Diceros bicornis minor: one gene and its partners. The protein of the gene in region 2 interacts with the protein of the main gene of each other region in a biochemical or structural test. Links are inferred from orthologs where the notes say so. Each region holds a gene or a part of one and is shown on either strand. Other genes may lie near its edges. The genes, in order: INCENP, AURKA, GADD45A and OTUD7B.

Evidence for each region.
Region 1: the proteins of AURKA (region 2) and INCENP form a complex in vitro, tested with the Homo sapiens proteins (3 studies listed by BioGRID and IntAct, with this or other methods). The link is inferred for Diceros bicornis minor from reciprocal best matches to the Homo sapiens genes AURKA and INCENP.
Region 3: the proteins of AURKA (region 2) and GADD45A form a complex in vitro, tested with the Homo sapiens proteins (2 studies listed by BioGRID). The link is inferred for Diceros bicornis minor from reciprocal best matches to the Homo sapiens genes AURKA and GADD45A.
Region 4: of the proteins of AURKA (region 2) and OTUD7B, one has a biochemical effect on the other in vitro, tested with the Homo sapiens proteins (2 studies listed by BioGRID, with this or other methods). The link is inferred for Diceros bicornis minor from reciprocal best matches to the Homo sapiens genes AURKA and OTUD7B.

The regions. Positions count from the first base shown.
Region 1 is NC_080770.1:11,224,096-11,231,035, forward strand, and holds the start of INCENP (inner centromere protein), read right to left. Parts: upstream 3,018-6,940; 5' UTR 2,903-3,017; intron 1-2,902. UniProt on the Homo sapiens protein: Component of the chromosomal passenger complex (CPC), a complex that acts as a key regulator of mitosis.
Region 2 is NC_080758.1:6,940,495-6,947,426, forward strand, and holds the start of AURKA (aurora kinase A), read left to right. Parts: upstream 1-3,919; 5' UTR 3,920-4,002; intron 4,003-6,932. Other genes in the region: CSTF1 (cleavage stimulation factor subunit 1), read right to left, coding at 928-1,096. UniProt on the Homo sapiens protein: Mitotic serine/threonine kinase that contributes to the regulation of cell cycle progression.
Region 3 is NC_080743.1:6,451,683-6,458,890, forward strand, and holds GADD45A (growth arrest and DNA damage-inducible protein GADD45 alpha), read left to right. Parts: upstream 1-4,205; 5' UTR 4,206-4,328; coding exon 4,329-4,372; intron 4,373-4,881; coding exon 4,882-4,983; intron 4,984-5,201; coding exon 5,202-5,439; intron 5,440-6,527; coding exon 6,528-6,641; 3' UTR 6,642-7,208. UniProt on the Homo sapiens protein: In T-cells, functions as a regulator of p38 MAPKs by inhibiting p88 phosphorylation and activity.
Region 4 is NC_080743.1:54,538,900-54,545,789, reverse strand, and holds the start of OTUD7B (OTU domain-containing protein 7B), read left to right. Parts: upstream 1-3,887; 5' UTR 3,888-4,171; intron 4,172-6,890. UniProt on the Homo sapiens protein: Negative regulator of the non-canonical NF-kappa-B pathway that acts by mediating deubiquitination of TRAF3, an inhibitor of the NF-kappa-B pathway, thereby acting as a negative regulator of B-cell responses.

The DNA of each region.
Region 1 (6,940 bases), on a different chromosome or scaffold from region 2:
TTGGATGAGGGAGAAACTTCAGCCACCACAGGACCCCTCTCTGCCTGCCCAAACACAAGGTGCTCTTACTCTCCTGCGCGCTCTCCTCTTACTACCTGTGGGTGAGCAAGGACTAAGACACAGTTACCCTGAGCTACACACGAGCTGACCCCAGGCATCAGGCCAAAGAACATGGGAGCCAACTGCCTCTTCAAGAGCCCAGTGAAAGAAGGGGTTTTGCTTTCCAAAGGAGTCAGTAAGAAAAGTAGGGGCCCAGGGGCTGGCCCAGTGGCGTAGTGGTTAAGTTTGCGCACTCCACTTCAGCAGCCCGGGGTTCACAGGATCCGATCCTGGGCATGGACCTACACACTGCTCATCAAGCCATGCTGTGGTGGCGTCCCATATATAAAATAGAGGAGGATGGGCACAGATGTTAGCTCAGGGCCAGTCTCTCTCACCAAAAAAAAAAAAAAAGTAGGGGTCCAGAGGCATGCTCCTCTCCAAGGGGTTCCCTCACCCTCTCCCTTGAGCTGAAATGCCCTAGAAATGGATGAGGGAGCATGAGGGGAGCAGATAAGCAATGTCTTGTTTTTAAGAAAACTTGTCGAGAAATATCAGGCAGGGGAAAATACAAAACCAGTTTTCTCTTAATTTCTCAAAAAACTAGCAGCTCAGGTATCCTCCTCAAGACTTGGTTATAATATCATCACCAAAGCCCCAGGCAAGGAAGAAGTGTTACATTAGTCATGCAGGGTAAATATAAGTAAATATCCAACTGCTGGGTGAATGAATGAAAGAATAAATGAACGGGTGACGGTCATTAGTCGTAATGACAGACTGCGTGTCTCATGCCATGGCAGTGACCCACCACTCAGATCTTCAAAACCCAGAACCATGCAAAGGTCAGGCTTCCCACCTAAGATGGAAGCTCCTAGAAGGAGGGGCTAAGTCACTGACCCCTTGACAGCTTATAGAGCTTAACAGGTCATGCTGCAGCCTCATGGGATTTCCTGGGGCCTGATTTCCAGGGCACACTAGCCTTTGTTCCTTGAACAAACTCTGCCCTCTGTCTGGAACCTTCTGTCTCCTATTTTGTACAGCTCACTCCTCATCACACAGATCTCAGCAACTCAGGGAGGCCCTGACCATCAGTCATGATCCCATCCATCGATTTCAATTCTCTGCATGGCACTTGGGTGACTGTGTATCTGTTTACTTACGCCTGTCTCTGCTCACTAAACTTTTGCTCCCAGAGGGCAAGCCCTTGTCTGTCTGGTTCGTAGCTGAAAGCTCAGAGCCCAGCACAAAAGGAATACTTGCTCAATGAATTAATCCACTTAGAAATAAACACCCTGCAGGTACTCCCTCCTCCCCGCCCCAACACACACACTCAGAGACACCACATGAGCTCACTCTATACAGGTTAGGGCACACCATACTCATCCAAAGCCACTGCTCCTAGATGCCAAGGGCAGCACTAATCGGGGTGGGGCCAAACAGATGGCAGAGGCTTCGGGCACAGACAGCTCTGCAGCCAGCCAGTCATGGGCTCCGCCTCTCCGCTGCCATCCCTCTGCTCCCCCCGGCCCCTCTGCCCCAGTGCTAAGCCCTAGCAAAGTGCAGGATCCCCGTTCGAGGCCAGTTATGAGAAAATTGTTTAAGGAAGCCAAAACCAAAACAGAGGTTTGCAGAGGAGCTACAGAAAGCAACAACTTGCCATCTTATTTTTTAAAGTATTAGTTCCAAATAGCAAAGTGGGCGAGAGCTTCCTTCACAAAGTGCAAAAAAAGTGTTTGAGCTTCTTCCATGGCAAAGTTTGTTTTTAGCAGACGTCAGCTTGGCTATTTAAAAAAGGTCACTGTACATTAGAACAGAGGTGACTCTGAGAAAGGAGGAATCAGGGTACTAAGAATCAGGCTCCTGGAAGGAACAGCAAAAATCTCATCTTCAGCCCGTATAAGAACCTGTGCACAAATCCAGAGCACTTAACATCCCATCAAGGGAGAAGGGAGCTCATCCTTCTCTCCCAATACTTCCCTCACACCACACACCAGACTACAGGGCCCCCACCCCCCGCCCGCCTCTGCAATGCCTGTTCCTTTGAGGGTGCAGGAAGTTGGGCACCCAACCCCACCTCAGTGAAGGACCATCATAACAGCTGCTCCCATTTACGAAGTCCTACTCCGTGCCCAGGTCAGGCATTATCTCATTTAATTCTCCCCACAACCTGAAGGATACCCATGTGCAGATGAGGAAACTGAGGCAAAGAGAAGTTAAGTCAAAGTCAGGTCACCCGGTATGTCGGGGGTGAGGCCTGAATTTAAACTGTGCCCCTAACCACAGCGAAGCCGCCTACTCGATTTCAGCCTCCGAAAGGCAGGCGCCAAGTTTTGGCTCTGGGCACCCCGCAGAGAAGGCCACGGTGGCTGGATGAAACTGAACAGCCAAACTGACAGCGAAACGTGGTTGGGGAGTGCACTGGCATAGGGGCACATAGGAGCAGTATTGGCCTCCGGAAATGGTCCGTTTAAAATGCCGCTCAGCCGAGGGGGAGGTGTTGAGCGAAGGTTAACTGTACAGAAATGCCCTCTGGCATAATTCGGTCCACGACCCGGTCGGTGTGCGCTTCCTACGCATCCAGGTCAACAAAGGGCTTCCTAGGCACACAAGGAGCTGGGCACCAGAGAAGGGGAGGGGACCGAACTATTCTCTCAGAACCTGGTGACCTAGATGGAGGGTGGGGGTAATCTCCGGCCCCGGGACTAAGGCAGGTCACCTCGCCACTTGGAAGAGGTGACCCGTCCATTTCCAGGCCACAAGGGGCGGCGGGGGACGGGGGTCATGCCCCCGGTCCGGAGTTGGCGGGAGGGGTAACAAATCTCTAAGCATCTCCCACCACCGCCGGCTGCCCGCGCGCACTTACTCTACTGCCCTGCGTCTCCTAAGTGCTGCTCCGATCCAAGTCCAGCGGCCTCCCTAGCACAGGCCCCGGCCCGCCCAGACCCTCGGCTCCCGGCGTCCAGGGCTCAGGCTCGGGGGAAGCAATGGGCGGTGCAGCGCGGGCGAAAACCTACGATTTTCAAAACTGAAGCTTCGACCAATCCCCGGCAAGTTTGTCTGGGCGGATGCAAAACTCTAAGCCAATCAGGTAAAAGGAAGTGCCAGTCAGGCCACCTATTGGCTACCTGGGTTGGCAGTCTGCGGGACTAAGAGGCGGGGAAAGGAAGCGTTGAAACTTTAACCTGCTCAGCTTCCGGGAGCTGCTGTTCGGATCCCGCGACCGATACAGGAAGTCGCCGGAGGTGGGGGATGCGCGCGCAGACGCTCGCACGCCGCAACTACAAGCCCCAGCGTGCACTGCGAAGGCTCTGGTCGGGTTTGGGAAGCGTTTTGGGGGCCTTGGTGGGGTCGGAGGTCTTATAACCGCAAGTCGTGCTCGTCCCGGGAGACTTGCCCATTGCAATTTCTTCTTCCAGCTTTCTGTTGCATACAGGATAACATCTTTCCCACGTCTGCCATTTTTGAGAAGTAAAACGCTCTGTAGATCGCGCCGGAGTTTTTATTTACGTAGAGCCCTCTGTCATCTCTTGGACGACAGCAACCTGTGTCCCATCTATACTGGCCCTGAGTGTACCCTTTGCAGCGGTGGTTCTCATTCGGGTGCGATTTTGCCGCACCATTTGGCAATGTATGAATACGTTTTAGGTTTCTTTTGGGGGAGGGCGGGGTGTTACTGGCATCTGGGTAGAGGCTAGCCATGCTGCTCAACACCCTATAGGGCACAGGACAGCCCCCAGGGCAAAGAATTATCCAGCCCAGCATGCCAGTATGGCCACTGTTGAGAAACTCTGCTTTAGACAGTCACTTTCCACTGTGAGTCAGGGCTGCCATCACTTGTAGAATAAGGCAGTTAAATCTCCGAGAGAGATTTGTACACCCATGCTCATTGCAGCGTTATTCACAATAGCCAAGAGGTGGAAACAACCTAAATGTCCATCAGTATGTGAGTGGACAAAGAAAATGTGGCATATACATACAATCAAATATCATTCAGCCTTTTAAAAGAAAGAAATCATGTCATCTGCTACAATATGGATGAACCTTCAGGATATTATGCTAAGTGAAATAAGCCAGTCACAAAAAGAGAAATACTGCATGGTTCTGCTTACATGAGGTCTCTAATGCAGTCAAACTCTTAGAAACAGGAAGTAGAGTAGTGGTTGTCAGGGGCTGGGGAGAGGAGGGAAAAGGGGAGTTGTTCAGCAGATACAGAGTTTCAGTTTTGCAAGATGAAAAAGTTCTAGAGGGGCTGGCCCCATGGCCTAGTGGTTAAGTTTGGCAGGCTCCACTTCAGTGGCTTGGGTTCAGTTCCCAGACCTACATGGCTCAGCAGCAGCCGTGCTGTGGCGGTGACCCAGATACAAAATAGAGGAAGACTGGGACAGATGTTAGCTCATGGCAAATCTTCCTCAGCAAAAAAAAAAAAAATGTTCTAGAGATCCATTGCACAAGGATGTGCTTACAGGTAACATACTGTAATGTACTTAAAAATGGTTAAGATGGTAAATTTTATGTTACGTGTTATGTTTTAACCACAATTTAAAAGAAAAAAAAGTTAAGCTGGATCATCTTTGCAGTTCCTCCGTTTCTGCGGCATTGCTTTATTCTGAACCTTCTACCCCTTGTGATGAAATGTACTCAGTTCTGGTCTAGTTCCACTGTCTCCTTTCTCAGGAGAACAATAGCTACACCCCCACCCAGATTCTTTTTTGGCTCTCATGTCTCTCTTACTTGAAGGACATCTCTGAAGGAGATGTCCTGTACTGCCACAGTTTCAACCCCTAAATCACGTTAAAGCGAAGTTAGGGGTGTGAACAGGAAAGGAAAGTGCTGAACGCAGGAGAGAAGTCTTGCTGTACTCTGCCCAGCTCTAGGGCCTGTGTCTACCCTGGAACACTGACCTAGTGGAGTTAAACCTAAGAAGAAACAACCAGGATAGGAAGAGCTGAACCTTATCTCCAAGCTACCACTTCCTGAACGCGCACTCTATGACAGTCCTCCTTCTGAGCGCTTTTCCATGCCTTATCTCCTCACAGCAAGCTATAAAGTTTTATCTCTATTTTAACTGATGAAAAGAGAGGACAAGTAACCTGTCAAGATACCATAGCTAAAGAACTAGAATCAAACCTCACATCTCGGGGCCAGCCCAGTAGCATAGTGGTTAAGTTCATACACTGTGCTTTGGTGGCACAAGGTTCGCAGGTTCAGATCCCAGGCACAGACATACACACCACTCATCAAGCCATGCTATGGTGACGTCCCACATACAAAATGGAGGAAGATTGGCACAGATGTTAGCTCGGGGCCAATCTTCCTCACCAAAAAAAAAAAAAAAAACCTCACGTGTCTGGAAGAGCTTGCCTTCTCCTTACAAAGAATAATTTAAGAGATGTGAGAAAAGAGATTTATTTAACTGCCTTCAAATAACAGAAAGCCTATCCCACAAAAAAATGAATTAATTAGACTTTCTCCTGGGTTTTACCCGAATTGTCAGCCCATATCTCCAACTCTGCATGTGTATAACAACAACTTCCCCTGCAAAATCAGCTGCCCCTCTTAATTCAATTTCAATAACTTTTGCATGCCCACTGTGTCCCAGACACTGTGCTGAGAACACAGCAGTGAGCCTACCACAGGTGACCCTGCCCTCATGGAGTTTACAGTCCATGTTGGGATATTGGAGATGGATTTCTGACAGTGAAATGGAGCAGAAGAAGTCACAGGTAGAGATTAGCATAAAGAAGCCTGTGATGGAATGTTCTGGAAAGCAGTGAGCCCTCCAGTGCCAGGCCCTTTGTAGACAAAAGTGAGGTCCGAAATGTGGATTCCCTGTGAGATTAGAAAACCCTCCTAACATCTGCCCAAGAGGAGAAACTGGGAGCTCTAGGTCTGTAGAGCAAAGAGAGATAAAGTCCAGAGTCCTACCGTAGACTTCAAATAGTTTTGTTCTAGCATCCAATAAGAAAATCTTAAAGCCTACGTACACATTTTTTAAATTGCCCTTTAAATTCTTTCCCTCATTTAAATGGTCGCAAAGGATGTAATTTTCAGCGTGTTGTAAATCGTGACATTCTGAAATAAAACTCTTTCATCACTCTTTTAAATGTGTTCAATACACTCAAAATCCCATAGCAATTTTGTGTGTGTGTGTGAGGAAGATCAGCCCTGAGCTAACATTCATGCCAATCCTCCGCTTTTTGCTGAGGAAGACTGGCCCTGAGCTAACATCAATTGTCAATCCTCCTCCTTTTTTTTTTTTTTCTCTTTTTCTCCCCAAAGCCCCAGTAGATAGTTGTACATCATAGTTGCACATCCTTCTAGTTGCTGTATGTGGACGGTGGCCTCAGCATGGCCTGACAAGTGGCGCGTAGGTGCGCGACCGGGATCTGAACCGGGGCCGCTGGTAGCGGAGTGCGCGCACTTAACTGCTAAGCCACAGGGGCCCCCCATAGCAATTTAGTATCCATCATGATCCATTTTTTTGTATATCTTTTTTCCCCATTTTTATTGAGGTATAATTGAGAAATAAAAATTGTATATATTTAAGGTGTACGACATGATGTTTTGATATACTTACACATTGTGAAATAATCGTCACAACCAAGCTAATTAACATATGCATCACATAGTTAACCATTTTCTTTCTTCTTTTCTTTCTTTCTTTCTTTCTTTCTTTCTTTCTTTCTTTCTTTCTTTCTTTCTTTCTTTCTTTCTTTCTTTCTTTCTTTCTTTCTTTCTTTCTTTCTTTCTTTCTGATGAGGACACTTAAGATCTACCCTCTTAGCAAATTTCAAGTATATAATACGGTATTGCTAACTATATTACATGGCTGTACATTAGATCTCCAGAACTTATGCATCTTGCATGACTGAAACTGTACAACTTGACCAACATCTCCCCC
Region 2 (6,932 bases):
AATAACTTCATATATAAACAATGTTTATTAGTATAACAAAAATTAAAAATAGAGAAGAAAAAATTAAAATGTCCTCATTCTATATCACCCAGAGATTATTACTGTTAACATGGCGGTATGAATTCTTCTAGACTTTTCTCCATGCATACAGTTGTTTCACTTAACAGAAATAGAAAAATAGAATTACACTACATAACATGTTGTGACTTACTTTTTCACTTAATCATACACAATAAACATCTGGCCAGCATAATAAATGTTCATCTACATCATGTTGTTGGATCTAATTTTATGGATATAAGAACATTCATAACTAATTCCCCATTGTTAGGCATTTCAGTTATATTCATTTTATATCCTCAGGACAAATTCTCACAACTAGCATTGCCAAGTCAAAGGGTATAAACATCTTCGGTACTTTTATACTTTACTGAGTGCTTTCTGTGACCCAGGTAAGCACCAGGATATACTTCTGAACAAGACAAGGTCCTGATCTTTATTGAGCCTGCAGTCTTTTTTTGGGGAGGTGTGGACTGTGTGGAAAACAACCCAAAACAATAAAGAAAATTTCAGACACTGATTCTGTTATGAAGAAAATGGGATTATTGTCTTAGAGTAACTGGAGAGTTATGTGGAAGATAGTCGGGTTATTTTAGAAGTGAAGAGGACTCTGAGATGACATTTGAGCTGAAACTTGAAGAAAGTCAATACAATGACAGAATGCTTCAGATAATTCGTATAAAGATCCTGAGGCTAGAACCAGCTCGAAATCTTTATAATCTGTACTTTGCTTACTCCTTCAATATCTAGCACTGTACTTGATACATACTAAAGGCTAAAACTAAAGAAATAATTTCGAAAAATTCTGACGTGTGAAAACATCTGAAACCTTGTCATGGGGTCAAGGAATTTGCATTCACAAGCTACCTAGTTTGATGAGATGCAGGAGCTGCTCTGAGGGCGCACAGACAGACTGAGGCTTGATTTCATTGATGAGGCCATTGGCAATGCTGATGTAGCCGTCATAGAGCAGCTGGCTAATGATCAGCTTGTAGAGCTGCTGGCGGTCCTTCAAGCCCACTTTGGTTCTGTACATCTTGAGGAACAGGAAGACAATTTGCCTGCCAGCTGCAAGAAGAGAAAACAGGTGGCCGGTGAAGGGCAGAGGCACTAGCAAACCACAGAAGCAACACAGGAATCTGGTCCCACTTGTAGGCTTAAATCCCAGCTCTACCAGCTGCAACATCTTTGGTCAGTGACTTCGTTTCTCTAAGATCAAGTTCCTCATCTGTTAAATAAGTTAGTGAAGGTTAAACAAGACGCTGCATTGAGCATAGTGGCAGAAAGAAATTATTCAAATCATGTTTGCTGATATTTACAGCAGAATGTCTCTTCATCAACTTTTCTTCTATGCCGAACTACTCACTTGCAATTTTTATTCTTTATTGCTATCCGAGAATCTTCCATTTCTTCTGTTAATAAAACAGTGACTGGTGTTTGCAATAGGTAAGACAGCTGCTATTGTCGATGTCTGGACAGTATTGTTTACACCAGCTGAGCTCTATGTTTACTAATACCAGTTATGTTCATTCTTAAAACATGTTTTAAAGTAACCGAGCTTCACATGAGCACAAAACAGCTATTATGCTATGAAAACAATGAAGCTGAATGCTTTCAAAGATTCAAAAGTGAACTGTTTAATAAAATACTGGCAAGTAGGATATGGCCAAGATAGCTTTAAAAAATGGAAAAAAATGCAAAAATCTGAAGGATTGTGCTCTTAGATCGATTTACAAGTGTCTAAGTTCTCCCTCAGTCTTAGAAAGTGAAACAGAAAACTGTAGATGATGGTTTCTGGTTTATGCCAAAAAAAAACAAAACAAAACTGCAATTGGTGGACATGGATAGAAAATCTGATTATCAAAAATTAATGTCTTTATGTATGTGTACATACGGACAGATCAGAAGACTGCAGGAGCCTAGGGACAGCAATAAAGAATAAAAGTTGTGGCAGAGAAGAAAACTGAAAGGCAGAGTACAGGAGAGAGATGAATATGAGAAAGAAGAGGAGGGAGTGAACACCAACATCAGTACCTCCTGGTACTGCTGTACTTTACAGGGGCGATTCTGAAAGCGGGGGAGGTGAGGGTGTTAGAGGAAAGGGGTGGGGAACCACGTTTTCTAAGTACACAACTCCCTCTGGAGAATTACTGAGGCTGCTGATCCTAAGAACAGCTAACATTCACTGAGCGTTTATCATGTTTTATCTCACCTAACCGGCAACACCATCTTATAAAGGAGGTCCTGTAATCTTGTTAACAGATGAGGAGGGGAAATAACTTGCCCATGGTCTCACAACTAGCGCCTGGAGGAACCAGGACTAGAACACAGGAGGTTTGACTCTAAAGACTGTCTCGTTCCTAACCACTACCTGCAGTGCTCCTCAAAAACTTAAAACTAGCTAAAATTTATTAGACATTCCGTACAGTATATAACATATACCGTGTAAGCAGCTAATATGCATTACCTCATTCAATCCTCATCTAATCCTATTTTAGAGACAGACAACCTGAGGTCCAGAGAGGTTAACTCAACTCAGGATGAAACAGCTTATAAACGGCAGAGCCTGAATCCTAATCCAGGCTACTTGACCCCAGAGCCGCCCTTCTTACCGGGCTGTACTGGTGGGTGTTAATAATAGCTAACATTTATTAAGCAGTTGCCAGACACCGTGCAAAGCACTTTATAAGCATTAGCTCACCGAATGAAATCATTAAATGTATTTAAGTACATGTAAAAGCAAACGTATATAAATCTATGCTTGCGTAGACAATACGAGGACACAATGGAGATTATGAAACCGGCTCAAAGGGGTTAGGAATCCCAGTGAAAAGTAAAATGTGGCTAAGTCGCCAAAGGTTCAAGTGGCCGCCAGGACTGCCCACACCAGAGCCCAGAGCTTAACCACTATTCCAGCCTGTCTCTTCATTCACGCCAGGAGCATCACGGGGGTATACAAAGAGATGAAGAAAAGAGAGGACACGCCCCGCTTCTCAACTCCCCTAGAACGTTCGCTCGCTGGGCTGGTTAGAGCCTAGTTACCAGCGCCAACTTGCAGGTGAGACCTCTGAGGCCCGGGGACAGGAAGAGCCCGACCCAGGACTGTTAGAGGAGTTGGAAGGGGGACCAGGGCGAGAGCGCAGGCGCCCCCTCACCGCCCGCTCCGCTACCATCCCGGCGCAGGGGCGAACTAAGGAGGGAGGGAGGGAAGGGACCAGGCCTTTGAGGAAAACGAGGCGGGTGCAAGCCCAGCCCGGCGACTCGGCACACGCCGCCCCGCTCGCTATCGACCTTTCCCGCCTCGCCCCTAGCCTTCCTGAAAGCCCAGCCCACCGCACCAGCCGCACCAGCCACCCCCGCCACGTATCCCGGGCCCCCTGTACCCGCTAATCCAGCTCTCCTGGTCTCTCGCTCTCTCCAGAAAAATGGATGCGCGACTCCTGCCCGATCGATCACTCCGAGCGCACGTTCACTGCGCACGCGCGCAGGAAGACGCGCCGAACGCTGCGCTATCGATCGGCACCACTCTCCCCTGCTCTTCTCGCCATCTTACCTACTAGCGCGTTCGAGAGGTTTGTTCACCTCCTCTGAATTTATCTTCTACGCGACAACCTTGACGCCAAGGGGCTGCTGTCGCACAGACAAATGTCGGATTCCGGAGAGCACCAAGGGCGGTAGCACGGCCAGGGGTCTGGCGGGCCGTTGGCTCCACCACTTCCGGGGCCTTACGGGGCAAGTGCGCCTGCGCGCCGTCTCTGCCCTGGACGTGACTCAAGCGTCGAGTTGGCTCTGAACCAATCAAAAGGCAGCGCCTCTCTAGCCCAGGCCAATCAGCTTTCGGATTAGAGGGTTTAACTCCTGTTTAAAATGAAGACTTTGAATTCTAACGGCTGAGTTCTCGGGAGGACTCGGCGGCCTTAGGTCGGAGGCAGGAGCTGACGGGTGGGTAGACCCTGGGGCAGCTCTGCAAGGCGGGCGGGCCCGGGAGGGTCCGGGTGGCCGGCCTGGGTGGGAGGGATGCAGCCAGTGGGTCCGCGGGGTCCGCGAGGGAATGGTCGGGGCGAGAAGCGCCCCCCCCCCGTCGCCCTCCGTCCCCAGGGTCCCTGTGCCCCCATCCTCCCCCATCCCCCTCATCCTCCCCCATCCCCCTCATCCTCCCCGTCCCCTACCTGTGCTTTCCCAGCGCCCTCGCATCTGCTTCTGGGTACTGAGGCGCCCTGAAGATGCTGCTTGATGTGTTCTGGAGTGGTTGGGGTGGTTGGGGGGTGGGGGGAGGGTGTGCTTTCAGATGGGGTTCTTGTATTCAGTGAGCATCGGGTAAGAAGAAACACAGGTTTTTGCTGTCTTGCAGTTGAGTGGGGGTGGGGAGACAGACTGCGAACTAGCAAGATAACATCCGAGAGTGGTGAGCCTTACGAAAGAAAACAGTCGTGTGGTTTACCGGGGGCTACTTGGGACAGAACAGCTAGGAAGGTCCCCTTTTCCTGGCTGGCTGGATGAGTGGGTGAATGAATAACCTGGAAGAGGCCTCCTGGGCCAGCGCTTCTCAAACCGTAGACCTTGGACCACCTATACGTCGGCATGGCCTGGGAGTCCTTGTCAAAAATATAGACCCACCTAATGAATCGGAAGCGCTCGGGCATAGGACTCAGGTGTCTGTCTTTTTATCAAGCTCTCAGGTGGTTCTGATGTGTCATTGAGAACTAGAGACCCAGACCAGCACATACTAGTCAACTGGATGTTAGAATGCAGGGTCTGAGTTGTTAGGTCTGGGGGTGGGCCTGAGAGTCTCCATTTCTAACAAACGCCCCCCTGTTGTAGGTGTAGCTACTGCCCTTGACTTTTAATGTCCCCTCCTCAACCTTCCTTGTTCTTTGAATTAAACACTTTTCAGCAACATACTTATTTCCTGTCCACTGTCCTTCATATACGCAGACATTAGTAGGTTTGACAAGGAAGGAAAAGTCTAACCCCACGGTGCTATTAAATCTAACAATTTTCCTGTTTAGAATAGTAGGATCTCTGGCTTGAGCGGTAGGGATCTTGTGAAGGTCGTCTGGCCATGTGGCTCCTGAACCTGGCTGTAGGCCAGAATCATCTGAGAAGCAGTCTCCCTGGGGCTCTCGCCAGAATTTCTGGGTCAGAATCTTATTCCCTTCTGCTTATCATCATTCATCTCCCTGAGAAGGAAACATATTAAATTGGAGCAAATTATCTGTAGCTTCTGTCAAAGACTGTTGAATAAATGTCCTTAGGGCTATGTGACTTCAGTAGAGCTGCTTGTAATTGTTAGGGAAAGTGAAGAAAGCATTAGAGTGTATGTGAAATGAACATTTTCATAACACAAGCATATGTTTCCTTTTTTCCTTTTTGTCTATTTCTACTAACCCACTGCTTAAAGTAAGGACTCCCAGCTCTTTAGCTGTGGTCCCATCTTCAAGGTGGAGTTATTTGCTTATTTATAAAATGAATGTGAAAGTGTAGGGGTGGGGAGCACTTTCTGATTGGATTCTAGAATTCGGAGAGCACTTGGGTAAGAAAAATACAGAAGTTTCTGCTTTCTTGGAGTTTATGTTCTACTTACTTGATAGGTGGTTGTACCTGAATCACCGTATGGGCTTACTAAGTGTTATAAACTATTTTTATTATTGATTTGCTTTGTTAATGGATTAATTCATTCTCAGAACATTGGTGTACATACTACGTGCCAGGCATGTTCTGGGGAGGCAGCAGTGAACAAAATGGGACTAAGCCCTTGTGCTCGTGGAGCTTGCTTGCTTTGGAGATACTGAGCAGGTAGCTGGATGTCTGAGTCTGGGGAGAGAGACAGTAAACAAGTGCAAGTGATGTTATGTAAGATATTAAGGAGTATGATGAAAAATAAAGGAGAGATGGTCTGAAAGGGGATGTCTGAGCAGAGACATGAATGAAATGAAGGAGTAAGCCACACTTCTATTAGGGGAAGAGCCTAATAGCGGGAACAGGAAGTGCAAAGGCCCTGTGGCAGGGACTTCTTTGAGGAAAGAAAGGAGCCCTGTATGGCTGGTATGCAACAGATAAGAGGAGATGAGGTCAGAAAGGTGGTCACGTTCCACATTCTTTGAGACTTTGTAGGCCTGTCTGTGCAAGTAGGATTTTGAATTTGGATTGGGGAACTATGAGGACCAACATATCTGACCTGTTAATGGGATCACTGGGCACACTGTTGCGAATGGTCCATAATGGGGCAACAGTGGAAGCAGAGTGACCATTGGGAGCCTGTTGCAAATAATTGAGGGGAGAGAATTGTGGTGTGAGCAGGTGGTAGCAGTAAAGGTCATGAGTAGTGATTTTTGAAGGTAGAGCATACAAGATATGCTGATAGATTACATATGGGGTTTGAGGGGGAACCGTGTAAAACATTATATCAAGACTTGACCTGAGCAGCTGGCAAGACGGATTTGCCATCAGCTGAGGTGGGGACTTCTGTGAGAACAGGTTTGGGGAGGTGGGTGGGAGGGAGCAGGACTTCAGGTTGGGACAGGTTAAAGTTGAGACGCCTCTCAGAGTACCAGGTGGAGATGTTGTGTAGGTGGTAGGAGTTAAGGGTGAGGTGTGAGCTGGAGATGGAAATTTGGAGGTCCTCAGCCTGTGGATGGTATTGAAAACCAGGAGACTGGATGAGCTCACCTAGGGAGTGAGTGTAGCTGGAAAAGAAGAGTGCTTTGGCCCTGAGCTCAGGGTGCTCCTGTGAGCAGAGGGGAAATGAAGTGTGGAGAGAAGAGGTTCCCTTTCAATGTGTTAGGATTGAGATGTCTGGTGGACCTTTCCGGGGGACCCTGAGCAGGTAATTAGATAACGGAGTCTAGCAGTCAGAGGAGAGGTTAGGGCAG
Region 3 (7,208 bases), on a different chromosome or scaffold from region 2:
ACATGACAAGATGGCATTAAGAGGATTGTACTAGGTTTTGATGCTATGAAACAAATTACCACAAACAGTGGTTTAAATTAACACTCATTTATTATCTCACAGTTTCTGCAGGTCAGAAGTCCAGGCATGGCTTAGCTAGGTTCTCTTGTCAGGGGCTCAGAAGGCTAAAATCAGTGTTTCCCAGGCTACATTCTCATCTAAAGGCTTGACTAGGAAAAGATCTATTTCTAAGCTCCCTCAGGTTGTTGGCAAAATTCATTTCCTTGCAGCTGTAGAATATGGAAGTTCACTTCTTCAAAGCCAGCAATGAAGAAAGAGAGTCTCTGATGCTTCCAATATCTCTTCAGAGAAGGCCTAGGCCCTCTTCTAAAGGGCTCACCTGATTAGATCAGGCCCACCTAGCATAATCTCCCTTTTGTTTAACTCAAACTCAACTGATTAGGGACCGTAATTACATCTGCAAAATCCTTTCACCTTTGCCATAGAATGTAATATAATTGTGGGTGTGATAGCCCAACATCATTGCCATATTCTACTCGTTAGAAACAAGGGATGGGTTCCGCCCACACTCGAGGGAAGAGGGTTATACAGAGCTTAACATCAGAGGTTAGAGATCATTGAGCCCATCTTACAATTTGCCTACCACAGTGATGGTCCAAGAAACTAAACATTTATGTTAAATTCAAATGCAAGTATTGATCCTAAGAAATGACAAATTTTTAGGTGACAGTAAATCTTGTCTGAATGGTCTTCTCTGGGGAAGAAATGAGGGAAATTCAGAGCCTGCCTTTAGAAACTAACTTCACCAGACTTATGCAAAAAATACATAAGGAACCTTATAATTTTTAACAATAAAATAGAATACAGAGTTCTAGGTAGTAGATACATCTGTTATAGTCTAATTGATCTCCTTTAATGTGAACAATGATCTAATACCAAAATAATAAGCATCATATTTCTTTCAGATGTTAAAGGATTGACTAATTTTTGAAAAAAAGAAAAGTTATCATTCTATACTATAGAACAAGTAGTAGGAACATATGCATACTAAAAGCGAAGAAAATATCAAAAAGACTCTTAATATGCAAAGTAAGTAGATGGCTAAAATAATTCAACAATTTTTGAGGACATATTTCCATCTGATTTCCAAATATAACCATTTGGCATCCTTACAAATATTACTACAAGGTCATTCTAGTCCTGTGCAGCTGAACTACTTGGAGCCACCTGGGGTGGTTTTAAAAATGATTTCACAGGGCCACCCCCGTGGCTTAGCGGTTAAGTGTGTGCGCTCCGCTGCTGGAGGCCCGGGTTCAGATCCCAGGCGCGAACAGACACACCGCTTCTCCGGCAATGCTGAGGCTGTGTCCCACATACAGCAACTAGAAGGATGTGCAACTATGACGCACAACTATCTACTGGGGCTTTGGGGGGAAAAAATTAAAAAAAAAATGATTTCACATATTGGAGTTATTTTTAAAAATACATATATGTGTGTGTGTTCTATACTAATCTAGGGAAATTCCTCTGGTTTATCATTGGATACCAACTTCCCACTGGCCTGAGGAGCATTTATGAAATATATCATCTATGACCATCCTAATATATAACTGCAATCTAACTGGAGCTAAATGCAGCTTCTACTTGCAGCCATGAGGACCAGCTTCGAAGATCATCACTGATGAAACATTCTAGGTAGACTCAGCAATGAGGCAAAATGATGTAACATATCTGAGTCAGAAAATATGACAAATGAATATTTTTGAATACTGGAAGGCTAGGCTTATCTCAGAGAGCAACCGACAACACTGGAACAAACCACTTTCCCATGAAGCCACAGACAGCACGCAGGGTAGCTTCTGAGTGAGGGTCTAGGCCTGTATTAAGAAATAGCTCTTTTATACCACATTTTTACTGCACAGCATTGTCTTGGGTGAGGTATTATTAGGGCTGTGGTTCATTTGAATTGGCATAAACAATACACGGGTTCTACTGTCCTACAGTTTCCGTTCAGATGACTAAAGTCATGGGACTTCCAGCATAGCTAGCTGATGACAGTGCATGCTATTTTGTCCCAAAATCCAGTCCAAGCATGGACATACCAATTAAATGGTAAGCTCTTTAAAGGCAAAGGACCAGGAATTGTACAGTTCTTGGTACATAGTAGATCAAAGAAGTTTTTTCGAACTAAAGATAAATGTGGAATATCTTAGAGAGAATTCATGCAATGCACAGGACTGCAGGATTCTGAGATCTTGTTCAACTCAATAAACATTGACTGTACTTCTCCTAAATGCAGAAGTTGGGCTGGGTGCCAAGAACACCACGGTGATGAAGTCACAGTCCCTGCTGTCAAGAAACTCACATGCATCCCTAATTCTTTTTCAGTTTGCTGTGATCACACTTTCTTCCAAAGAACCTCTAAGAAACGCCTAGTGGATAGAACCTTGGAGTTCCATGGAACACGGTTCAATAGTCTCCAAATGATGACTCAGGCCAGAGTGTATAATTCAGGGTTTGTTCGAAAAACTTCAGAACCCACCTGAATTTCAATTTTAAGGAATTCTTTAACAAAGACACTACACATTACGATTTAAGGTATAGAAATGAAATACACAAGCACCCTTGGGTAAATTATGCATTGGCCACCACCATTCCAAAACATTGTCCCTTGCTGACAAGGCAGTTAGGGATTAAGTGCAAAAAGGCAGCTCAAGTAAATGAGCCAGAAAACTGAACTCTCACTTTTCTTTTCCACTAAATTAAGATCAAGAGAGCTGGAGAATATTTTGTCTAGAATGATACAAACATACGGGTGCAAAAACTCCCATGTACCTTTGCAAAAAATGACTTCTGTGACCTTTAACTATACAGTGACCTTAATAATGCAAGCGTTGTTTTGAATGGAAGCATATGGGGGGAATTTTCACCTCTTCTGGTGACTTGAGTAGGTTTAAGACATGTTTTTGCACTTATTGTATAAACTCATAAAACAAAGGGAAGAACTTGCAACGTATTCGGCGAAAGTCTACACATTAAAGTTTGCTTTTCAAAAATGTGTAACTACTGCTTGCTTTCCACCCACAGGTCGCCATTATCTCAAAGGTGAAATTTTAGCATATGACTAAAAGGTCCTATGGCTGCTGCTTCATGATTCAGCACTGGCCATCAATAATTCACTGTGAGATCACAGGCTCTCTGGGGAGGGCAGTGACATACTTGCCTCATGAAAGGAAGCTTAGGGCATATTGAGAGCATTCTGAATTTAGACTCGTGGCTTATGTGGGTGTCAGACATTTGTCTCTTAGCTGGTGCCGGTTCAGAAGGATCCTCCTTTGGGGAAGGCTCTCTGAGAAAGGTGAGCTTGGGTTGAAGGCCAGGATACACACGTGTGGTAACCAGCTCCCGGTGAACATGGTTTCCCCGAGTTACCCTGGGCAGGTGGGAAGCCCTTCTGCTTTCTGCGGAAAGGATTCCAACTTGGTTCCCTGCCACCACCCAAGACAAATGTGTTGATTTTTCTTTTTTGAGCTTCCAACCCTTGCAACCTTCCAAAAATAAATCAAACCAGCCATCAGGGCACCGAAATAATACTACTACTAATAAGCAGCTTTGCCTGGACTTACACAAACAACACTTCTGAGGTAACTTTGCTCCGGAGGTCTGGACACACTCTTTTTATGTAAACTGCTTACTAATAATTACTGGACTTGGGTGCATTAACCCCGAAAACAGATTTTAATAGCAACCCCTAAAAACAAAAGACATGAAACGACAATAAAAAAAATGTGCACCAACTGAGAAAAACACTTGGCAGCCTGTTCCAGCCCAAGCTGAAGACAACCCGCTTTCCCTCCCCCCGTGCAAAGACCGCCTCTCCTTTGGGCCCCGCCCACGGAATAAGAGTCCGCTCGGGACCCCGCCCCCGCCCCGCCCCCGCCCCTGGCTCGCCTTCCGCGTGGCTCCTCCCCCTTCCGCTCCTCTCAGCCGCGGTCCGGGAGCTCGGGTCAAATTGTCGGAACATGCTGATTTGCATAGCCCAATGTCTGCGCGTATGCAAATGAGGCGGGCGTTGGTTGGCCGGGGGTTGGCAGGATAACTCCGGCGAGCGGCGCCTTTGTCCTCCAGTGGCTGTGAGGCAGCAGCCGGGTGGCAGTCGCGGCTCGCGGCGGGGCGAGTGGCCGGGGGCGGGCGGGAGGGCTGACGGCGCGGCGGCGGGGCGCTGGAGCGGCCGGGGCCGGAGTGCAGACAGCCGGCGCCCGCGCGCGCTCGGTGGCAGGAGCAGCCCGCACGCCGCGCTCTCTCTGGGGGGAACCTGCAGTTGCAATATGACTCTGGAGGAATTCGCGGCTGGCGAGCAGAAGACCGAAAGGTGAGTGGGCCGACTGGCCCCGGGGGGACCTCGGGGGGCCTCGGGGGAGTGCCGCCGGGCTCCGGGAGGTTTGCGTGGGGCGAGCGGTGAAAAGTTTGCGGAGCGCACCTCCCTCCCGCCTTTCTCACTCGGGGACCCTCCCAGGGGCGCCCGCGGACGGAAGGAGCGTGCCCCCCAACCCGGCCGACCCCTCGGGGCTTTGCAGAGGGCACAAGCGACCGTCCCTGCGGTGCAGCTGCTGCGGCGGGCAGCCTGTGCCTGCGCCCAGCCCGGGACTGGCAGTGCCCTCGGGGAGGGTGGCGGGTGACACTCTCGGGGCTTCTCCCCGGACCCCGGCCTCTGGGCGTGCGAGGGGTCGTGGGGGTGCCGGACCGGGGCGCCCGGGTTTGCAGAAAGCTGAGGTGCGCGGGGGCACGCGCTCGGGGGGAAGGTCGCGGTGCGGGTCGAGGGGCGGCGACGGCCCGAGGGCACCCGGGCTGACGGGACCCCTTGCTCTTGCCGGCGTGTAGGATGGATAAGGTGGGGGATGCCCTCGAGGAAGTGCTCAGCAAAGCCCTGAGTCAGCGCACCATCACGGTCGGGGTGTACGAGGCGGCCAAGCTGCTCAACGTGTAAGTGGGGCCCTCGCGTGTCCCCCGTGGCCCCCTGCGCGCCCCAGCCCGGGAGGCGCCCTCGCGGGGCGCCCCTCGCCTGCACGCCGCTGTCCATCCGCGCGGCGGCTGCCTGCCCCGGCGAGCGAGCGGGCCGGGCGCGACCCCCGGGACCCGGGCGGTGCGGGCGCGCGCGGGGGTCGCGCCTCGGCGCTCACCCGCACCGCCCCTGCCCGCAGCGACCCGGATAACGTGGTGCTGTGCCTGCTGGCGGCGGACGAGGACGACGACAGGGACGTGGCCCTGCAGATCCACTTCACCCTGATCCAGGCCTTCTGCTGCGAGAACGACATCAACATTCTGCGCGTCAGCAACCCGGGCCGGCTGGCCGAGCTCCTGCTCCTGGAGCCCGACGCGGGGCCCGCGGCCGGCGAGGGCGCCGCGCAGCCCCCGGACCTGCACTGCGTGCTGGTGACGGTGAGGGCCAGGGCGCGCGCCGCCGCGTGCGAGGCCTGGGAGGAAGTGGGCCGGGGCGAGAGTCGCCTGACTGCGGGTCGGGCAGGGGTGGGGGTCACGAGCGGGGCCGCCTTTGCCCCATTAAAGAGAGCGGCTGGACTTTCAGCCGAGATGTGCTAGTTTCATCATCGGGATTTTCTCCCGTACGGAACATGTCTGAGCACGTTGGAGGCTGCCAGCCGCGGAAGAGATCCTTGTGAGTCAGCAGAGTCAGCCCAACTACTCCCTACCTACATCTGCACTACCTCCCGTGACTAATTCCTTTAGCAGGGCGGATTAGATAAAGCCACATAAATTCCTGGCTCACCCTCATTAAGGAGTCAGCTTCATTCTCTGCCAGTCAAAGCTAAAAATAGAAACGGTGTAGGAGACAGACCTTATTAATTCCCTAGAAATACATTAAGAGGATAGAGTGGAAATTTTTCCTTTGCAATCTTGCATTTTTTTAATGGAGCTTTTTTCCTAATTAAAAACCTTGGGTGGGTAAATAACTTGTGTTTTCAGAGGTAAATGAGATTTTACATCATCTTTTGTTTTTACATTTTACTGTTTTTTGGCTGGTCTAGCTAAGTGGCAGCCTAATTATTTTGCTACTCCTGAAGAATATGACTCCACCTTTTGGGAGGATAACAGGTGGTGACTGGGTGGTGACTGCTGTGCAGCTCTGTCTCATTGTATGAACGGCAGGGAAATGTTTCTCAAAGTCATTTTACTCAGGTCTCTGCCATAGTACAAGTTTGTTAGCAGGAACCTGTGAATGATACCCTCATGCAAAACTGAATAAATAGTATCATGCAAACATATGTAGATGGCTCAGTGGGTTGCGTGCTTCAGACTTTGTAGAGTATAGGTTAGGGGAGAATTACCTTTAATGATTTTGCAGGAAACCTGACTACCTGGAAGAAATGTTATTTTTTATGGCTGTAACTGGTCTTCATGTCATGCAAAATATAGAATGTTGAAGTGTCTTCTGCTCAAAAGTAGTGTAATTATTAGCAAATGCTGATTTTTTTTTAATAGTCAATTTATTTTTCGAAATTTGTTCCCAGAATCCACATTCATCCCAATGGAAGGATCCCGCCTTAAGTCAACTTATTTGTTTTTGCCGGGAAAGTCGCTACATGGATCAGTGGGTCCCAGTGATTAATCTCCCTGAGCGGTGATGGCATCTGAATGAAAATAACTGAACCAAATTGCACTGAAGTTTTGAAATACCTTTGTAGTTACTCAAGCAGTTACTCCCCACACTGATGCAAGGATTACAGGAACTGATGTCAAGGGGCTGAGCGAGTTCAACTACACGTTCTGGGGGCCCGGAGGTAGATGACTTTGCAGATGGAAAGAGGTGAAAATGGAGAAGGAAGCTGTGTTGAAACAGCAATACAAGTCACAAGGAACAAAAGAGACAACCACGCAGGAAGGAAAACAAACTATGTATTAATTTAGGATGGTTGAGTTACAGTTAAATAAACCAAATACGCTTTGTTCAAGTTCAAATGTGCAGCAGTAGTTTGGGTATTTTTGGTTTGTATGCCCTCAAGTAAAAGAAAAGCAGAAAGGGTTAATCATATTTTAAAACCATATTTTATTGTATTTTGATGAGATGTTAAATTCTCAAAGTTTTATTATAAATTGCACTAAGTTATTTTATGACATGAAAGGTTATTTATGCTATAAATTTTTTGAAACACAATACCTACAATAAAATGGTATGGAATAATTGCATCATT
Region 4 (6,890 bases), on a different chromosome or scaffold from region 2:
CTAGATGTGACTCTATTATAAGAGTGTGGTATGTACTGCCAAAGCAATGGTTCCCAACTGCCAATTCATTCATTCATTCACTCAGTAGATATTTAATGAATGATTGCTATGCGTCAGGCACTATGCTAGGCCTTATAGCTAAAATGGTGAATTTATCTTATGGAGCTTCACAATCTAATGGATGAAGAAAATATCAATAAAATAATCTACAAGAAAATGTAAATTTATAACTTTATGAAGGAACCCAGGATATTCATTTTCTATTTTTTTAATTGAGGTAAAATTCACACAGTGAAATGAACAGATCTTAAGTAGACAATTTGATATATATGCATAACAGCTACCCTATCAAGATATATGTATATACATTTCCATCACCCCAGAAAGTTCCCTATTGCCCCCTTTCTATTCAATCCCCACCTCTCCCCAGTAGGCAACCATGATTCTGATTTCTATCGTCAAGATTACTTTTGCCTGTTCTTGAATTTCATATAAATGGCTTCTTTTGCTCAATAAATGATTTTGAGATTTATCTATGTTGTTGTGTTTAAATGGAGTTCATTTTTAAAAATTGTATTCCACTGTTTGATCAATGTGTTTATCCATTTTTTTGTTGGTAGACATTTGAGATGTTTCCAGTTTGGACTATTATGAATAAAGCTGTTATGAACATTCATGTCTAAGCTTTTTGTAGGCATACATTTTCATTTCTATTAGGTAAATACCTAGGAGTGGAATTCCTGGGTCATAGGGCAGGAAAGTGTTTAACTTTATAAGAACTGTGGATATTTTAAAAATATATGGATTCATGGTCCAAGAATTCCCAGTTAGTCAGTCTGAGGTTCCTAGGCACATACATACAGGATGTAGTTTTTAAAACTCCACAGAACCACTAGTCTAAATTATAGTGGTGGTGGTAGAAAGGAAGTTATTTTGGTTTGGTTTTCTTTTACACCACAAAAGCATATGAATGCAAACAATTGCTGTTTTTTTCCTTCCTGGTTAGCTGCAAAATAGCTTTCTCTGAACATTCCTCCCTACTCTATCCATTAGCCCTAGTGTTGAAATAGTCTCTCCTTGTAGTTTCTCTGGTGAAATGCAAAGCTCTGTTTTTTTCTGCTCTTGCTTAAAGTGAAATGAAAGCTCAGAGAGCTCCTTGGAGCAGCCCTTAGAATTGCTAAAATGAGTAAACAAGAACAGGCCTTTAGGGCGGAAGAGAACTTTGTACTCAATGGCAGATGAGAGTGTGTGGCCCTAGGTACACTGGTAGGGTTTTCTGTGCTGCTTTTACTTTCTTTTCTTTCTATTCTTCTACCTGGCAGCAAAACATAATCAGCTGTGTTCTGGCTGCCCACAAGGACATTAGCCAGCTGTTTCTGAGCATTTAACATAGTGACAGCCCGAATGGCTGCACATCACTACAGAAGACGTCCCCAGTTTCTAGGCAAAGAAACGGACACATAGGAATAGGAAGGGAGTCACTTAATGGATTAGGGGCTGGCTGAGCTGGGACCAGAACCCAGGTGGCCTGGCTCCCAGCCCAGCTGACCACACTGCTACCCACACAGCCTGGGCTGACCCCAAACAAGCAGGCCATTGAGCAGTTGCACAAACAACAATGAATGATGGATGGTCAGAGCAAGAAACAGGCACAAAACAACTGCAACCCTATCACTTCCTGGCCCCTAAATTTCCAGGCAAGCCTGTAAACTGTAGTCACTTAAATGAGTTTGACCAGCAACTTGGCCCAGCTTTCAAATGTGGAAACTTTCTGTGGTCACTGCCAAAAGTAAAAGTCTTCCTTGTACTGAGGGTGGAAAGTGCCTTTGAACTCCATACCTGGTCCTAATAAGTCTGTGGTACTGGAGTTAAGACTAGAAAGACATAGTTAACAGATGGGCATAACCTGGTCCTGCGAGGGCCTTGGTGAAACAAGACAAATTTAGATTTTTGAGGCTCTTCATCTGTGGACCTGTCCTCCTACCCCAGATTTAGCTTGCACGGAGTGGGTGTGATCAGTGGAGTTCAGTTAGAATCAACATAGGAGACCAAGTCTCATCATAGGTGAGCAACGGGTGGCTGTGATCAGTGCAGTTCAGTTAGAATCAACATCAGGCGACCATGTCCTCCTCAGATTTGCTGCTGAACAGGACCCAAAATTCGTAGTCCCCACATGCTTGAAGCCCAGGCCAACTGGCTCTGCCTGCCAACCTGTATTGTTGGTCCTGGGCATGCCTCATGCAAGGCACTCTAACCTGCTCGGCCTTGGTGTGGCCCTAGGCCCAGCCCTAAATCTTCACCTCTAAACCTAAGGTATCTCAAAGAGATATAGCTGTCTAGGAAGTGTCCTGTTTCAGGTGTTGATTTTCCAGTCTTGAGCTGGCTAATTCTAAAATTCTATGCTCCACCCCTTCGGTTTAGAAACTGAGGATTTTAGAAAGTAGTGAGGAGATAGAAAAATCGGCTGTAATATTTGTTTTTTAAATAGGCCTAATGAGCACAACTGAAACAATAAACATTTTGAATACGCAGACCAGGTGCCAACATGTTAGGAATCTGAATTAAAATTTAGAATTTCTTTTTTTTTTTTTAAATTTTAGGGAGTTTATTTTATTTTTTTTGTGTGTGTGTGTGAAGAAGACCAGCCCTGAGCTAACATCCGAAGCCAATCCTCCTCTTTTTTGCTGAGGAAGACTGGCCCTGGGCTAACATCCGTGCCCATCTTCCTCTACTTTATGTGAGACACCGCCACATCACGGCCTGACAAGCGGTGCGTGAGTGCACGCCTGGGGTCCAAACCAGGTTCGCCGCAACAGAGCGCGGGCACTTAGCCGCTTGCGCCACCAGGCTGGCCCCAAAATTTAGGATTTCTTTGATCCCCAGGGGCTGGCCCCATTTTGTGTTTGTCATAAAGAGTATTTATTAAATGGCTCTTCTTACTTGAAACAGTCCACATTCTCCTAATATTTATTTATTCATTCAACAAATATAGAAGGTCTGCTCTGTGCCAGGCAAGGCTTATGTTCTCATAGCCATAGCTCATTGCAACTCACATACCACATACGCGACTTTTGCCTTATGTATGTATCATATGTATCATATACATACATATGATACATACATGTATATATGTATCATATACATACATACATATGTATGTGTATTTTACTAAAGTATAGGAACCTTGATGTTTGGAATTATGTCTTGTTCATTTTTGTGTCCCCAATATCAATGAGCACAGTGCCTTTCACATAGTAGGGACTAAATAAATATTTATTGAATTATGCTGTAAAGCTGTTAAAAGGCACTACCAAAAAAGCACTACATAACTTTTTTCGATTGTGCTAACAGTCTTAAGGCAGATATGTCAATAGGGTATCATCATAATGCAAATAAATATCGAGTGTTTATAGAGAAGGGTATGTTCACTTCATGAGTGAAGGAAGGAGAGCGCATAACTGGGTGGAGACTGTTAATTTTCCTCTGGTCGGTCCAGAATAATTGCCTACAGTAACTAGAATTTCAGTCGTCTCATTCTAAGTATTTTCATCCCTCTCACCTTTCGAGAACTACCCCGCCTCTTTCTGCTTCTTCCCAAAGGGCTGTAGCCAACTGACTCTATCTCAAAGTCTCAAGAGTCCACCCTGTACCCCTCCACCTTCGGTTCAAGAACTCTCCAGACCAGGGGCTTTAGGAACCCGGACCAGGAACACACGGGGTCACGCGCGGGGCAGGCGTCAAACTGGCCGCAGCTAGGGGAGCGGCGCTAAAGGCGGGGCTGCTACGGGCGGGGAGGGGCGGGGCGGGAGGAGGCCCGGGGGCGGCTTGGGTGTCACCACCAACCCGCTCCGGCCGGAAACTGGCGCTTGTTTCCGGCCGGACAGCCGAAAGCCACCGATCCTGAACCAGCAGCCGGAGTCAGAGTGGCGGCCGGGTGTGGAGCAGGCAAAAAGCCACTGGGGGAGGCCAGTCTCGATCAGTCCCATCTGGCTCCGACTCCTGATCCTGTGCGGACCAACAGCCGCGGTCGCAGTCTCCGCCACCGCCTCCGCCTCCATCGTCGTCGGGGGAGGGGCCGGCCGGACCCCGGGGTCACAGCCGAGGAATGAGGAGAGGCGGCCGGGCCCCGCGCTCCGCCCCGGCCTAGGGCCTTGCCCCGGGAGCCGCGAGGGTAACGGAGCCCCCCGCCCTGTCACCCTCCCCCGTCTGCTCCCGCCCCTCCCGCCTCTTCAGACTCCCGAACTCTGACCCTCAGATCTCCACTGTCCCCTTCTCCTTTCTGATGGTATTTCACCCGGAGCCGTCGTCTCCCGGGACCCCCTTCTCGCCCTCTTCTCGCTTCATCTCAGCCTTCCCCGGTTACTCCTCCCCTTCACCTGCGCCCCGCGGCCCTGGCCCCCGTTCCCGGCCTCCCTTCGCGAGCTGTGCTGGGCAGTTTGGACGGTCCTCTCGTCAGCTAGACTTTCGGGGAGGGATGGTGGAGTTTTAAGGTGTTTAGGAGTACAGGCTACTATCCCCATAGTAGGATAAAATTCATTTTGAAGTCTCAATATAAAAGTAAAGTGAAAACAAGCTTGTTCTCCCCCATTGATAGCTACACTGAGGTGCGTCCAGTAATGGAGGAAGGGAGCGAAAAGAAGTGTGTGTGTGTGTGTGTGTGTGTGTGTGTGTGTGTGTGTGGGCAGGCTTATGAACTTTAGAAAAAAGAAAAGTTGCCATGAGCCGATGGAAACTTTAGAAGCTGATGATGAGTAAGCCGGGGGCTGCGTGATCTCACTCCTCTTCTCATAATTACTAGGTTAACGGTGTGGCTCCGGTCGGGATGGAATGGGATTTGTTTACTGGCCCGCGTATTTTTAGCTTGTCGGCTCGCAAGGACCAGCGCTCTGCGAGTCAGTCTTTCTCTCTCTCTCTCTCTCTCCCTCTCTCTCTCTCCCTCCCTCCCTCCTTCTCACTCTCTGTCTCTCTCCCCCACCCTCTCTGTCCGTCTCTGTCTAGGTGGCTCCTCCGGGCACAATACAGATATAAAAATTAAGTTGAAAGAAGCTGACTAGTGAAATTTTCTGTAAGAGATTCTCCGCAAACTCTTCGGGGAGTTTTCTTTTCATGAATGTGAATGGAAGAATTAGCAGGACTTTGACTTGTAGTTTCCTCATCTTTTATAAGTATGTGTATAAAATGCTGTTTAGAAAATCAGAAGCTGGTGATTTTTCAGTCTTAGGCTTCTCTTACTGTCTATTTAGATCTTTGAGAAGACTGGATCCCTTTGTCTTTCAGAACCTATTTCTAAAGTGGGAAAGGACAAAGTGGTGAGAGGAGGTAGTGGTGAGGCTAGTCCAAGAGGGCAGCTAATCCTAAATCTTTTAAAAACGTTTTCTATGCTGTATAACTTTAAAAAGCAGTTAGAAAATTTCCTTCTTAGTAAATGAGATTGCATTCCTGATGGGATGGAAAAGACTGCAGGGACTTAGGCTGAGTGGCTAGGGAGAATCAGACTTGTAATTAAACATTTGCTTTGCATAATTTACAAATGAATACATTATAGGCAAACACTTATACTCTTTGTCCTCATTGTTTTTCTGAGCAGTTCTTTTAAAGTTTAGTAACCAACCTGCTGAGCTAGTCTATTGATATTTTGAAGGCTGAACAGAACTGTAAAATAAATGAAATTGATGTTGCTCATCTGGAAGCTGAATACCAGTCTGTTCTAATTTCCACTAGCTACCTGGCGTGCCTCCGGGCACCTCCCTGAATAAGTGGCCAGTTACTATGTACTTAGAGATTGCAAATGAATACAAATATTAGCTCATGCTAGGAATAATTGAGAGGGTAAATATGCTGAAAAGATATTCCAAAACTGAAATAGATTATTTTTCAATTTTTTCCATTTTGGTTTATCAGCACCTTTCTGCTGATAATTATCCATTAACATGAATAATTTAGAATTGAACAGATATTGGACATTGCACATTCAAGCAGAAAGAGGATGGAAGGAAGGTAGTTCCCAAACTATTACTAATTTTTTTGCTGTTGTTGCCTCGTTTGACTTATCCTTTTCGTTTAATGCCAGGCTCCCTTGTGAAAAAAAAAAAAAAGTAAACCTTTACCAAAGAAAAGGCTGTCTGCTGACTTGTATAAGGCAGGCTGACCAGTAATGAATGCTAATTGTTAGCTGGACTTTTGGTGGAGATATGTCACCAACAACTTGGAAATTTTCCTGAAGCTTTATTTCCTTAATCTCTTTCTTTTGGGATGCCTCTTGAAAAAAAAAATTTAATTTGGAGGGTAAAATCTAATTTTTAAAAATCACACATACCCTCCCAGAGTGTGTTGACTATCAATAATTGTTTTAATTTGTGAGTTGGTTGGTGCCAGTATTAGTGATGATATCTAGTAAATTCTAGTTATTTCTGTATTTATATCTGTATTCAACTTCCCCTGGTTGAACTACATATATTATTTTGGGGGTGGGGCTTGAAGGAATTGAGTAAACCCCAAGACAAGTGTAGGGCAGCCCAATAGCCCACCATTATTCCCAGTTCTCTGAAGGCTTTGTTTGGAATTTTGAGATTCAATGTACGTAACCAAGTGAATTATGATGGAATAACTCAATATTAAAAATAAGTTTTCAGATTGTTATGGGGGCACTGAGTGCCGCTGGTTAAAGTTTTAGAGCTCCTGAATGTCTCAAGCATGCTGAGGATGCTGACAGAAGACACTGTAAGGGGGCACCTCTCTTCTTACCCCAGACATTCATCCCATCAAGGAAAAAATCTTGAAACAATACTTTTAAGTGTGACTTTGGCAGCATTTTTCCTATAGGAACTTAGGACTTGTGGAATGGCAGACTGTGGAATCTTCTCAACAGCCCCTGATAGATTCAGATAATT